3 linked regions of the Arabidopsis thaliana genome follow. The protein of the gene in region 1 interacts with the protein of each later gene in a pairwise test. Each region holds a gene or a part of one and is shown in the gene's direction. Other genes may lie near its edges.

Region 1 (5,921 bases):
AACTTTGCTTTTATATATGTTAAAGCCGTGAGCGGTGTAGACACAAACGGAGTGTCCTTTTTTAAGGAACTTAAGAAAACAACCGCCAAGAAGGACATCGAGGTAAAAATAGTTGTTTTCACAATCCGATTTTGTCACTTATCCAAGGAAACTAATTAGATTTTGATCTAAACTGGATATTTATTTTATGTGTGAAGCTTGTGTTTGTGAACCCTCTAAGCGAAGTGGTGGAGAAGCTTCAAAGAGCTGACGAACAAAAAGAGTTCATGAGGCCCGAGTTTCTCTTCTTAACCGTCGCTGAGGCCGTTGCGTCGCTCTCTCTTAAAGGGCCATCTCTCAGTAACGTTTAACTATAATTTTTTGTATCGGTCCAATATTGATATTTAACCGATGGTTAAATTTTTCTTTTTGTCTCTTTTTCATCTTTTAATTTCAGTACAGATGTAATATTACGTTCTTCTCTCTCTTTCTTCAGTGATGATTTTGGTCAAGATATGTTTGTATGATTTCGCCATTTTGTAGTTTACTAGGCCATGTTTAGTCTCCGAGAATAAAATTGATCTAGAATCGAATTGATATCTTAGCTAGATCAAACGGATGTATATCCAAATTATTTATGAAATAAACTGATTAAATAAAAAAATAAAAATAATATTTTTATTTAAGATAATTATGTTTTATAATATTAGAAAATATGACCAAACCATGAGCAGAATTGTGTTAAGAACTTTGCCAAGTTAGAGCTTACATTATATATCAAAAGTCAATGTGTAATTGTCAAGAGGGATAAACCGACGCGGATGAATCGAAGAAGCAATTGCTTTCAAGAAGACTTCAAATCAGCTATGTGTCTGCGATTATAATTGTGTAAACGTTATAAGCAAGAAATTTATCTCAAAATAAAACTGGTCTATAAATCAAATCGAATTGAAAATTTAGCTAGATTAAAAGATGAAATGAACTGATAACATAAACTAATAGATATTTTTAATAAGATGTTACTACTTTTGTGAAATGATAAAATATTTCTGAAGTTAATCGAATTCATTCAAAGCTATGATAACATTGTGACTTCTAGGAAAAAACAATTCTTGATACGGTCGCGGAAAGATCTTGATAACATTGTGACTTCCAGTCTTCCATATGGCATAAGGTATTCTTTTACACTAATACTTTCCCGACAACAACAACGAAAAACTCCAACCTTTTTTTAAAAGGCCACATAGAATGCATGATAGACCATCTGAAAGAAAATGGACAGGGTGGCTTAAAAGTGAGATTTCTTGGGATTGCATAGGATGTTATAATTAACCCTAGCTTGAAAAAAAAAAGACGATTAGACAATAAGAAATAGAATTTAGGTCAACTTAGTTCGGCGAATATGATCTTGCATTGCACCTTCTTTACCAATTTATAGTGATCTTTTGCTCCTTATAAGCACATGTTTAAATCACCACTACGACATTGTTTCTGTTTGGGCCAAATGCACACTTGTATTTTATCTCACAACGAGCTTATGAGAAATCAATCCTAGTAATACGTTAAGTGGCCCAAGAAGTTTTGGACCGGCATTTACGTGTATATAAAAAAATATTATGATTACTTTTAGATGAAACCACACTTAATTTCTTCTTTTTTCTTGGTAAACCACAATATCTCTTTATTGTTTTTATCAAGGATTCACAAAATTCATTGAATGGAAATTTTCATTTATGTGTGACATGTAGACAGTCAGTCCACTCTAAAAAATCTCAGTCAATTTCGTAACAAATTCATAACCTATTTCAAACACAATTCATAACCATAACTTATAAATACTACATAAATGATATTTCTTTATATCATCTTAAATGGTACATAAATTAGGGGAAAGCTAAGATATATATAGTATTAAAAAGTACAAAAATAGATAAGGTTTATAAATGTTTAAAGAAGTAATAAAATAGAAATAAGAACTAATTAGGTCGTCATGTGTTTGCTGTATAAAAAGCTGTAAAGGGACATCTCTCGTAAATCTAAAAATCATCAAATCTTCTCCTTCTCTCTCTCTCTCTCACACACTCACTAGCTTCTCTGTTAAAAGCTTCCGTCATCACATAGAGAACAGAGACTGACACTAACTCACTTCCTAACGGTTTCCACACTCAAAATTACACTTTTGCCACTCCGGCGAACAACAATATGATCACATGGCACGACCTCTACACCGTCCTCACGGCGGTGATACCACTCTACGTAGCCATGATCCTCGCTTACGGCTCAGTCCGGTGGTGGAAAATCTTCTCACCAGACCAATGTTCCGGCATAAACCGCTTCGTCGCTATTTTCGCCGTCCCTCTTCTCTCTTTCCACTTCATCTCCTCAAACAATCCTTACGCAATGAATCTCCGATTCATCGCAGCCGATACACTCCAAAAACTAATCATGCTCACTCTCCTAATCATCTGGGCTAACTTCACTCGCTCCGGTAGTCTTGAATGGAGCATCACAATCTTCTCTCTTTCAACACTTCCCAACACTCTCGTTATGGGAATACCTCTCTTGATCGCCATGTACGGAGAATATTCCGGCTCACTCATGGTTCAGATCGTTGTTCTTCAGTGTATAATCTGGTACACGCTTCTTCTCTTTCTTTTCGAATACAGAGGAGCTAAGATCTTGATCATGGAACAGTTTCCAGAGACTGGTGCTTCGATTGTATCGTTCAAAGTTGAGTCCGATGTTGTTTCTTTAGATGGACATGATTTTCTTGAAACTGATGCTCAAATCGGTGACGATGGTAAGCTTCATGTTACGGTGAGAAAATCAAACGCTTCTCGGAGATCTTTTTACGGTGGTGGTGGTACTAATATGACTCCTCGTCCGTCTAATCTCACCGGAGCTGAGATTTATAGTCTTAACACTACTCCAAGAGGATCTAACTTCAATCATTCTGATTTTTACTCTATGATGGGGTTTCCCGGTGGCCGGCTTTCGAACTTTGGTCCGGCGGATATGTACTCTGTTCAGTCCTCGAGAGGACCTACTCCTAGACCTTCGAATTTTGAGGAGAGTTGTGCTATGGCTTCTTCGCCAAGATTCGGGTATTACCCGGGAGGAGCTCCCGGGTCGTACCCAGCTCCTAATCCGGAGTTTTCTACCGGTAATAAAACCGGTAGTAAAGCTCCAAAAGAGAATCATCATCATGTAGGAAAATCAAATAGTAATGATGCTAAGGAGCTTCATATGTTTGTTTGGGGATCCAACGGATCACCCGTTTCGGACCGAGCTGGTCTTCAAGTTGATAATGGAGCCAATGAACAAGTCGGAAAATCCGATCAAGGCGGTGCAAAAGAGATTCGAATGTTGATCTCTGATCATACTCAAAATGGTGAAAACAAAGGTTTTTAACTTTTAAATTGTATTTTTTTTTGTAACATATGGACACAAATCTCAAACTGTATTTGCTTAAATTTGTAGCTGGTCCGATGAACGGGGACTATGGCGGGGAAGAAGAGTCGGAGAGGGTAAAGGAAGTGCCTAACGGACTACACAAGCTTCGGTGTAACTCCACAGCAGAGCTAAACCCTAAAGAAGCTATAGAAACGGGTGAAACTGTACCGGTAAAACATATGCCACCAGCGAGTGTGATGACTCGGCTGATATTGATAATGGTGTGGAGGAAACTCATAAGAAACCCAAACACTTACTCTAGTCTCATTGGTCTCATTTGGGCTCTTGTTGCTTTCAGGTAACTTAATCAAAAATCAACTACTAGTGGAAGTTTATTATTATTGTGAGATTTGATTAGAGTGATGATTATGGTAATTTGGATATGAAGGTGGGATGTGGCAATGCCTAAAATTATTCAACAATCAATCTCAATTCTTTCTGATGCTGGTCTTGGTATGGCAATGTTCAGTTTGGGTGAGTCATCTTTTTACTCTGTTTCTTTTTTCCGTTAACTCATTTACTTTCTTTCTATTTTTACGCCAATCAAATGTCACAACATCCACATTCGTACGGAAAAAATTGTAACTTTTTTTTGGTGAGGATTCCAATAATTGAAAATGGTTGGTATTTTTTAAGATTTTTTGGGATGGCCCGTTACGGCATGGACCATCCGACAGGTAGGGTCATTGATGCGACGTCGAATTATATAAACGGTCGTGGTGGGATGACATAGCTCGTGTTCTTGATTGTTGTCGTGGTCCCCATATTAAGTGGAAGTTGATTGGACTTACAATGTACATGAATGCATCATCATCATCATTTATTGGATTTAGATTACGTTTACATGTATTGCATCATTCAGCACTTGTTGTTTTGAGTGGAAATGAATTAACTGAAAATGTGAAAATGGTGAAGGGTTGTTCATGGCATTGCAACCGAAATTAATTGCTTGCGGAAATTCGACGGCGACTTTTGCGATGGCGGTGAGATTCTTTACTGGACCAGCGGTAATGGCCGTGGCAGCAATGGCTATTGGATTACGTGGAGACCTATTGCGTGTGGCCATTGTTCAAGTAAATTAAACTATTTTCGTTTGTTGTTAACAATCTCTTTGTAAGAAGTAGTTTAACCAAATCTTGTGGTAACGTTGTAGGCTGCATTGCCTCAAGGGATCGTGCCGTTTGTGTTTGCAAAAGAGTATAATGTTCATCCCGCAATCTTGAGTACAGGGTAAGTATTTCATATTGAACCAATAGTAAAACTTTTCTTATGCATAAGAGAAGATTACTAATATTGTTGATTCTTATGTGTATTATTGCAGGGTAATATTTGGAATGCTTATCGCACTACCGATTACACTTGTTTACTACATTTTACTCGGGCTATAAGCTCTTCAATGGAGAAGTTCTGCTTGGCTGAAGAGGATAAAGAGAAACAAGATAATTCCAAGATTAGTGGAACGCAACTAGAAAATGTAATGTAACACGAAATGTAGTAAATTTAAAGGGACCAAGATTTGATTTGAGGATCCAAAAACCCTTTTCTTGTCTATATATTTTCTAGAGATTATTTGAGAAAGAAGGTGATGGAATGAGAGAGACAAGAGGACCAAAACAAGGGAAAGCAAAAAAAACAGAGGACTAAGATTTGATTTGAGGATCCAAAAACGCTTGTATATTTTCTCTTCTTTTTTTATAAGAAGGGTAAAGCTTTGTTCATATATTTTGACTTGCAATAATTTCTCTTACTTTCTACTTTCATTTTGTTTAAAATTAGGTAGGTACGGTATTCATTTTTTGTTTGTTTTGTGTTTTGTGTAGGTTACTTCTTTCGACGAAAGTGTGTTTTTGTGGATTTTCCTTTCTCATCTAGTATACATTGCTCTCACAAAAGTAAGGACTGTTTTATTCCAATTAAATAAAGAAAATGACCTCTTAGTTAGCGATTAGGCGTGAAGATATATTACAATTGGTTTTATTTAATTTTTGTTCTTGTCTCATGACGTATATGATTATATTTATATTATAATTACATCAAAAGATATGAAATGAAGAAAATCATATGATAGAATTCGAGTAAAACCAGGAAAAAGATGCACCATTTTCTTACAATTCGGCTCTTCGTTATACATAATAAGGGGAAAATGAGTCCAGAACATCTCAACCCATTGAACTTTTAAATGAAGAAAACTAAACGTTTTACCAATTGAGTCACTTTATATTTTACTATTTTATGTTAGACATATTACTATACTAATTTGGACGTTGAGAAAATTTCTCTCTTTTTTCTCAAAAGGAATTTGTCTAGTATAACTTTAGATGCTGTTTAGACAAGTACGTCGACTTGATAAAGCTCTAGTTACCATTCAGAGCATTGGTTACCATTCAGAAGTGGGTTAGGCGCTTTGCACTCAAAACGCGGTGTCGTCGTTTTAGTAAGCTTTGTGATGTAAACACAAATTATATATAGAAAAATAAAAACATAAAAGT
Region 2 (4,239 bases), on another chromosome or scaffold:
TGGATATGAAGAAATCCAACCTAGTCCAACAGTAGAGAAACCATAAGTTTAGTCAAATTCCAAAGAAAGCTCCAACAACTAAAGAAGTTAAAAAAGGATTTTGACTATCTCTTCTCTCTACCTTCAAAGATATGTGAAAAACGACCCAAAGCCAAAGTTACACTCCTATGTCTAAAGAATTCGTTTGCCGAAAGTGATCCGCTTAATATGATCTAAAATTATTTACAATAGAGAGTGTTGAATTGATTTAATAGGATATTGCAAATGATGATGAAAATGAGGTGGATTAAATTGTGTTAAAAAACAATAGTTGGTTTTGATTTGCTTTTTTTTTTTGGTATCAGGAATTCAATCTCTGGATTTCATCGTCAATGTATTATGATCCTCAATTGAAAAATGGCAAAAGATTTTATTTAATACAATATTTTTGTGTTCTCTCTTCTAATTCATTTCATGGGTTTCATGTAGAGTCTGTTTCCAATTTATTTATTTGTGTGTTGTAATACTCTATGATTTTGATTTATTTTTAGTTTGTAACATATTGTTTCTATCTCATTTCCTCTTTAAGAGCTATGCCACCACCATTCTGGTTGATTTGTGAGTTAGCACATTAATCGCTAATGTACATCATATCAGAAACAACTCTTGACTCGATTTTTTTTACTTTCATTGTATGTTTAATGTAGTTTTTTCTTCAACATTGGGCCACAATTGGCCGGCCCATTAGCCAGACAAACAACTCTTGGATCGAATTTTTTTCCTTTCATTGTGTATTTCATGTAGTTTTTTTTCAACATTGGGCCACAATTGTCCGGCCCATTAGCCAAATCCCTACATTTGTATCGAGCGGGACTCAATCCCAAGTGTGATGGTGCATGTTTTCGGTGGTACATGTTTTCATGTAATTTTTGTTTTATTATTTTAAGAAGTTATCATCAATTAGAATTAATTGTATATATCTCATTTTCATTGTATAGCTAAGGACCCAATCTTTACAGAGTTCATCTTTTTTCTCTGTCTGATTAATCTTTTTTTTTTATTATGTCTAATTAATCTTAAAGTTGCTAGACAAATAGATTCATGTACAAGATTCACTCAAACTAAATATGAGCGAGAAAAAATAGTATATATATTGAAAACTAAATTTGGGAGATACATGGGCATTTTTTTCGATTCTTTAACTCGTGAATTTAGGTTGTTCTTTTGTCGTTTCAGTTGTTGTTTTTTTGTATCAATCACTCGTGAATTTAGTTTTTTTATGAGAGCATAATTTATTATAATTTGCAATAGAGTTGTAAAGTTTAAATTGCTATAACGCTGTTTTGTGGAGAGTTAAATAGGGTGTTGACTGTTGAGTCATAAGACCAATGTGTATGGTCTTAGAAAGAAAACCTTGTCATAATTATATAAGATAATAAGTTCTGTTATAGAGGTTATTAGACAAGTGATAGGTCTAACCAGTCCAAATCACAAAATCCAAAAGCTAAACATTGCTTTTCGAAAGAGAATGTATTTCGTAAATCTGATTTGCAACATTTTGGGAAGTTTAAATTTCGAATCCAATGATATAAGAATAATAAAACAAAACAAGGTATTACATGAACATGAGTGAGTCACTGTAAAAAGTAAAAAACAACAAAAAGCCTAACATACATATATATATATATTTATTAATTTATTGTACCTTTTCATGGTTTCTTTTTTCATGCCTGTAACTCTGAGAAGGACACAGACACATTTGTTTGTGTAAGTAATAAATAAGTGTGAAAACACAATCAGAGACAAAAGCCTAAAGACTCGAGCAAACTTTTTATTAATATTTTGTTTGTTGCTTTGCTTTGATTTGTTCAAATTTCAAAAACTTCTCTTTAACCCACCACTCCCTCCATTACCACCACAACTTCACATTCTCCGATATTCTCTCTCTCTCTATCAATCTCTCACTCTCAAACTTTCTACATACCTGAAGAAAAAAATAATCTACGAATTCGAGCCAAAAAGATCGAAACTTTTTAATCTATGGGTGCTTCAGGGAAATGGGTCAAGTCCATTATCGGTCTCAAGAAGCTAGAGAAGGATGAAATCGTAAGTTCATTATCTTTTTTTTTTGTTCTCTCGTTCAAAGGTTAAAGCTTTATCGAGAGATACTCTGTTTTCAGGAAAAGGGTAATGGGAAAAACAAGAAATGGAAGCTATGGAGGACTACTTCAGTAGATTCATGGAAGGGTTTTCGAGGAAAACATCGGTCTGATTCAGACGGTGTTGATTCTTCTACTGTTTACTCTGCTGCTGTTGCTACTGTTCTTAGAGCTCCTCCTAAAGATTTCAAAGCTGTTAGAGAAGAATGGGCTGCTATTAGAATCCAAACCGCTTTTCGTGGATTCTTGGTGAGTTTGCTAATTGGTTTTGATTAGAATTGAGAGGAATAGAACTTAGTTTAATTTGAGGATTTGTTGTTAATTAGGCGAGAAGAGCGTTGAGGGCATTGAAAGGGATAGTGAGGTTACAAGCTTTAGTGAGAGGAAGACAAGTTAGGAAACAAGCAGCTGTTACATTGAGATGCATGCAAGCTTTGGTGAGAGTACAAGCTCGTGTTAGAGCTCGTCGTGTGAGGATGACTGTTGAAGGACAAGCTGTTCAAAAGCTTTTAGATGAACATAGAACCAAATCTGATCTCTTGAAAGAAGTCGAGGTTCTTGTCTTTACCTTTTTAGCTCATTGGTTTGATGATTGTTTATTGTTTTGAGATTTGTTATGTTCTCAGGAAGGGTGGTGTGATAGGAAAGGTACTGTGGATGATATTAAGTCAAAGTTGCAGCAGAGACAAGAAGGTGCTTTTAAGAGGGAACGTGCTTTGGCTTATGCTCTTGCTCAAAAGGTAACTAACTTGTCCACATTCAACATCTTGTTTAAGTTCGTGTCTGAAGCTGAATCGGGAATCTTGTTTTGTGTAGCAATGGAGGTCAACTACTAGCTCAAACCTTAAGACGAATAGTTCGATTTCGTATCTTAAAAGTCAAGAGTTTGATAAGAATAGTTGGGGATGGAGTTGGTTGGAGCGTTGGATGGCTGCTAGGCCATGGGAGACTAGACTTATGGACACTGTTGATACCGCTGCCACGCCTCCTCCTCTGCCTCATAAACATTTGAAATCACCGGAAACTGCGGATGTTGTTCAAGTTAGAAGAAACAATGTGACCACTAGAGTATCTGCAAAACCTCCTCCTCATATGCTGTCTTCAAGTCCTGGTTATGAGTTTAACGAGAGCTCAGGTTCATCCTCGATTTGTACTTCAACTACGCCTGTTTCTGGAAAAACTGGACTTGTTTCAGATAACTCTAGCAGTCAAGCAAAAAAGCACAAGCCAAGTTACATGAGCTTGACTGAATCGACAAAGGCTAAGCGAAGAACTAACCGCGGTCTCAGGCAATCTATGGATGAGTTTCAGTTTATGAAGAACTCTGGAATGTTTACAGGGGAATTGAAGACTAGTCCTTCCTCAGATCCTTTTGTTAGTTTCTCCAAACCACTCGGTGTTCCTACTCGATTCGAGAAGCCGAGAGGTTAAATGTGACCTTGTTAGATTGGAGTTTCAACAGCTTGTTGTTGTCTTGTGTGTTGTGAGATATCTGTGTATGTTGTTAATTGTTCTTTTTCCTTTGGAACTACATTGGAGTTTTGAATTTAAATATAAATTTCAGTCTTGCTTTTATTTCACTTGTTTCAAGAATCAGAATCTTTTGATGGTTCTGAGCTTAACCCCGTTCTTGAAGCTGAGAATTATACCATAATCAAGCTGCAGTGGTATCTCCATTTCTAGGGAATGTCTGAAAATGTAATTACGGTAGAGATGCAGTAATGTGAGTTTGATCTCTTGCAGGGCAAATCTCTGTCCAACACAGGCTCGTGGACCGATACCGAATGGGATGAAAGCGTATGGATGTCTATGTTTCTCCTCTTCTCCGTTCGGATCAAATCTTTCCGGCTTGAACTTCTCCGGTTCTGGAAAGTTTTTAGGGTCCTTTGCTAGAACTCCTAGTGCTAACCAAACCCATGTCCCCTAAGCAACAACCACAAGGTAAGTAATAGATTACAAGTGCTGACTGTAAATGGACTAATCCGCTTGATGGGTTTGAATATACCTTTGGGAGTAAATAACCTCCTATCTCCACTTCTTTAGCAGTTTCCCTTGCAACCAAAGGAGAAACCATGTAGAATCTCATAGCCTCTTTAATGAC
Region 3 (3,925 bases), on another chromosome or scaffold:
TCAAACTGATTGATGAATATGCACCCGGGTTTAGCTCATCCATCATTAGCTACGACATGTTGACTCCTCCGGACCTGGAACGGGAAATTGGTCTAACAGGTATATAAAGTGAAGTACTTGGAGAAAGATCCCAAGTACATGCGACATGGCCAAACCATATTGACATGACTGCCCATTTGTATTCTGCAGGCGGAAACATCTTTCACGGTGCCATGGGATTAGACTCTCTCTTCCTGATGCGCCCTGTGAAAGGATGGTACGTGACTCCGAAGTACTCAAAACAGTCTTTACGATTTATGATTATGAAATTCAAAACTTTGTTGGACTGTGTGAAACAGGTCAAATTACAGAAGCCCTTTGAAAGGTCTCTACTTGTGTGGCAGCGGAGCTCATCCTGGAGGCGGAGTTATGGGTGCACCTGGAAGAAACGCTGCACATGTTGTTCTTCAAGACTTGAAAAGAATCTAGCGAGTATAATCTCAGACTGTGCAATGTTAACTCTCATGTGTAAGTTGTTTGTTACTGCTCTGAAAACCTCTGTCGTAGGGAGAGGCTTACAGACATGGACAATAGTTGATATCAACGAATAATAAGCCTCCACGTGTAGCTTAACCTAAATATCACTAATTCAACAAATATGGAAAGTGCCCTAAACAACAGAAGAGCCATTGTTTATTTGTCTTTGTCTTTGTCTTTGCGAAAAGAAGTAAATATCCTCATCAATGGCGGATTCACGAGATGATCTAGCTGAATCGCTACAAAATCTATTCACGAGTGTTTCATCTATGGTCAAATCCGAGCTCCAGGTGAAAATCAATCCGAAATTTTACAGATTTATTTGTTTCCACAGATCTGAAATTGAATTGGATAAAAATAGGGAACGAACAACCATCTAGATCTATTGGAGAAGATGAACCTGAGAGTTGCGTCAGAGTACGATGATATGGGTGACGTGGCAGCTGGGCTCAGAGTTTTCGCAGAACAGATGAAATCAAAAAGTGGTGGCTTGGATGAATTTGTAGGACAAATGGATGCTATCGAGAAACAAGTGTCGGAGTTTGAAGCTGTGATCTCTGTTCTAGATCGATATGTCTCTGTCCTAGAATCTAAAATCCGAGCTGAGTATCGTCATCCTCATCATCAGCGTCGCTCTAATGATTCTGTTGTTACAGACTGATGCATTGTAGCAATAATTAATTTTTATCATTACTGAGATTGTTGGAATCGAGATCTGGAATGCTATTTTGGTTTTAGTTGATATTGAAGCTAGATACGAATACGACGAATGATTTTGTCTACATTCGGTTTAAGTTTAACCAAAACTGAAATTTGCATAAATCAATCTGGAACCAAACCAAACGAAAAGCACCTAAGTTTTTTTTTTACCGCTACTCCATATATAACCATTTACCGTACTTACTAATGCATTGGTTAAGTGTTTTGTTAAACATATTAAAACCTCCTAAGCAAACAAAACCAAACCGAATTAATTTCAGTTTGAATGTAATAGCGATGGTTTTATAAAACCAAAACTTGGAACAAACTGAACTGCTCATCTTTAGTAGTAAGTAACGAATTTTCATAATCACAAATTGTGATGTATAATCATGTTATCCGTTTCAATATCAAGAAATTTAACTAGCATAGTTGGAGAGTGTTGTTAATTTTGATTAGTAGTGGACAATCCGGTTTAAGGTTTGGTTCCGGTTCGATTTTACGGTTTATATATTACTTGTTTTCTCTGTGTTTTTCTTTTGTCTAAAAACACTCTAAAGAACTTAAAGATATTCGTCTGATTGTTCTCTCTCAAATTGGCTCATCCTCTCCATTCAATTCATCCCAAGTACCAAAGCAAGCTACTTCGATCTTCCTCTTACTACTCTCGTTTCTAATTGTAAGTCTATATCAATTCCTTTTCCAAAGTTTGTGTAGATCTCAAAGTAGTAGATCGGAAGAGATCGATAAAACCAGATCGATTAATCATAGTTGCTCCCACTCTCGACTACTTAAGAGATAATCATAAAGTCTTAACCTTTAGGAATCGAAATTTATTGTGATGCTTAGATAGCGAAACCCAGTTATAGAATCATTGAATCAATTAGAAACCCCTAATTTTCCTGTGGAAATTTGCTTAAAATCAATACTTTTTTGGGTTTGTAATCTATACACTTACTCTATGATGTCCAAGTTCTTCCTTTTTTGTTACTGTAATGTAAAATCCAATACAAAGATTTGAAATTTATGTTGTTTCAGATTGTTGTTATCTTAAATGGGTTCATCTGAGAAGAGATCAAAGGATATCATGAGTGACATACCAACTTTCAGTGCAGAGAATTTGCAGAACAATTTGAAAGTCATTCAAAACAGGTCTGATTCAATACAATTCTCTCTCTTTCGTTTTCTTAAAAAGATGATGGTTCTCGGGTTTTTTGACTTGTTATCCCTCATTTTGTTCGTGTTTGCAGCCGGACGTTTCTGTCTATCATAGCTGGTGTCTTAGCAGGAATAATTGGATTCAATGGCTTGATTGGTTTTGTATTTTACTTTGTGGTGATGTTGATCACATCTGTTGGGCTCATGGCTAAGGCAGGATTCTCAGCTGACTTGTACTTTGATTCGTGGAATCGGGTTCTTTTTGACGGTTTTCTTGGTGGCCTTATGGTATATCTTCATTTCCTTTTCTTATTACATTGTTTGTTGCTTCAAGATACATGTTGTTGATCCAACCTGTTAATCTCATACTAATCGCGGTGTTGTTTTCTTTTTCGCAGTCGTTTGTGCTGTTCTGGACGTATCCTTAAACTCAATTTGGTGGTCATACTCATTTTATGATAATGTGCAAAACTAAATCAAAGGTTGATTAGCTTTATGGAAAAACATCTATGGTATGGTGTAGGTAAAAATGATTAGCTTCTTAAGAACCTGTGATTAACATAGAAATGGCCTTTTTGTTTACTTCGTGTAGAATCAAGTATATGCGCAACTCGAAAACAGCTCTCTCTATTCTCTGTTTGTCTCAGTAGGTTTCCTTAACAATGGAGTAGATTTGCGTATGACTTGGTGCACATATTCTGAGGGAACTTCTGCTCCAGATGAGGATGGTGAAACGGCACACAAGATTGAGTTCGGGTTTTGCAGCCTCTTCATCTAAACTGAATTAGATTGACAATGTTTCTCTTGTTCCCTTTTTGAACAACAGTTTATGAGTTCGTATTACCTTTTTTTGTTATTTGAGATCACATCAAACTGTGAAAACCTTTAGATTGAAAAGTTTCAAGTATTTACACTTTCTTCCAATTTCATGTGTTCACATTGTTGTTTTCTTTTTTTTTTACATTCTTGCATGTAAAATATATTCGAATATGCTTAAGATTTCAATAGAGAACATTAGAACACTCTCTGTCAAGTTTGAACTTAGCCGTCTATGTGTATTGTATAGTTCTTTTGTTGCTTCTTATGTTTATTTTCCTGTGTTGGTGTGGCTTGTCTTACCAACTCTAGTTGAGTAATAGAAAAAAGGTTGTTTGATTTCAAAAAGGAAAAACAAAATATGAATATCTCATAACTACTGAACCGTTTACTCATATCAAAATTTATAGACCATTAAAATCTAGTCATGATGATTTAATAAACTCATCATCGAGCTTTCTGTAAAACCCATCCTGAAGAGTTGGTTTCACAGATCTCGTGCATCACCTGTCACACAACACACAGAGTTTAGAGACTAAAACTACGCTTTGGTCGAAACACAAAAAAAAAGTCAAAGAGAGCTCAAGTGAAGACCTTTATATATTCGTTGTTGGTGATTTCACGTTCAAGTTTGGTCCTGCCTGCTGCAAATACCTCAGCCTTCATAAGCTTTGTTCCAGGTGGAGATCCGGTTAAGAGGCTAATGACCACTTCCCTGATGATAAAAACAAAAAAA

The links. Proteins that work in one complex are often made in the same cells at the same time.
Region 2: the proteins of PIN7 (region 1) and IQD6 interact in a protein complementation assay, tested with the Arabidopsis thaliana proteins (one large-scale study listed by BioGRID).
Region 3: the proteins of PIN7 (region 1) and AT5G49540 interact in a protein complementation assay, tested with the Arabidopsis thaliana proteins (one large-scale study listed by BioGRID).

The regions. Positions count from the first base shown.
Region 1 is NC_003070.9:8,179,667-8,185,587, reverse strand, and holds PIN7 (Auxin efflux carrier family protein), read left to right. Parts: upstream 1-1,937; 5' UTR 1,938-2,181; coding exon 2,182-3,382; intron 3,383-3,459; coding exon 3,460-3,730; intron 3,731-3,820; coding exon 3,821-3,906; coding exon of another isoform or gene 3,907-3,944; exon of another isoform or gene 3,945-4,347; coding exon 4,348-4,505; exon of another isoform or gene 4,506-4,585; coding exon 4,586-4,662; exon of another isoform or gene 4,663-4,753; coding exon 4,754-4,820; 3' UTR 4,821-5,399; downstream 5,400-5,921. Other genes in the region: AST91 (sulfate transporter 91), read left to right, coding at 26-102, 198-350. UniProt on the Arabidopsis thaliana protein: Acts as a component of the auxin efflux carrier. Mediates the initial auxin gradient which contributes to the establishment of the apical-basal axis in early embryogenesis.
Region 2 is NC_003071.7:11,142,763-11,147,001, reverse strand, and holds IQD6 (IQ-domain 6), read left to right. Parts: upstream 1-1,898; 5' UTR 1,899-2,019; coding exon 2,020-2,085; intron 2,086-2,159; coding exon 2,160-2,387; intron 2,388-2,464; coding exon 2,465-2,692; intron 2,693-2,764; coding exon 2,765-2,878; intron 2,879-2,954; coding exon 2,955-3,569; 3' UTR 3,570-3,712; downstream 3,713-4,239. Other genes in the region: CYP711A1 (cytochrome P450, family 711, subfamily A, polypeptide 1), read right to left, coding at 3,732-4,061, 4,144-4,239. UniProt on the Arabidopsis thaliana protein: May be involved in cooperative interactions with calmodulins or calmodulin-like proteins. Recruits calmodulin proteins to microtubules, thus being a potential scaffold in cellular signaling and trafficking.
Region 3 is NC_003076.8:20,103,954-20,107,878, reverse strand, and holds AT5G49540 (Rab5-interacting family protein), read left to right. Parts: upstream 1-1,600; 5' UTR 1,601-1,894; intron 1,895-2,253; 5' UTR 2,254-2,269; coding exon 2,270-2,367; intron 2,368-2,465; coding exon 2,466-2,661; intron 2,662-2,771; coding exon 2,772-2,791; coding exon of another isoform or gene 2,792-2,801; exon of another isoform or gene 2,802-3,044; coding exon 3,045-3,075; 3' UTR 3,076-3,398; downstream 3,399-3,925. Other genes in the region: AT5G49555 (FAD/NAD(P)-binding oxidoreductase family protein), read left to right, coding at 1-99, 190-256, 339-468; BLOS2 (biogenesis of lysosome organelles complex 1 subunit-like protein), read left to right, coding at 723-806, 878-1,177; AT5G49530 (SIN-like family protein), read right to left, coding at 3,637-3,696, 3,784-3,904.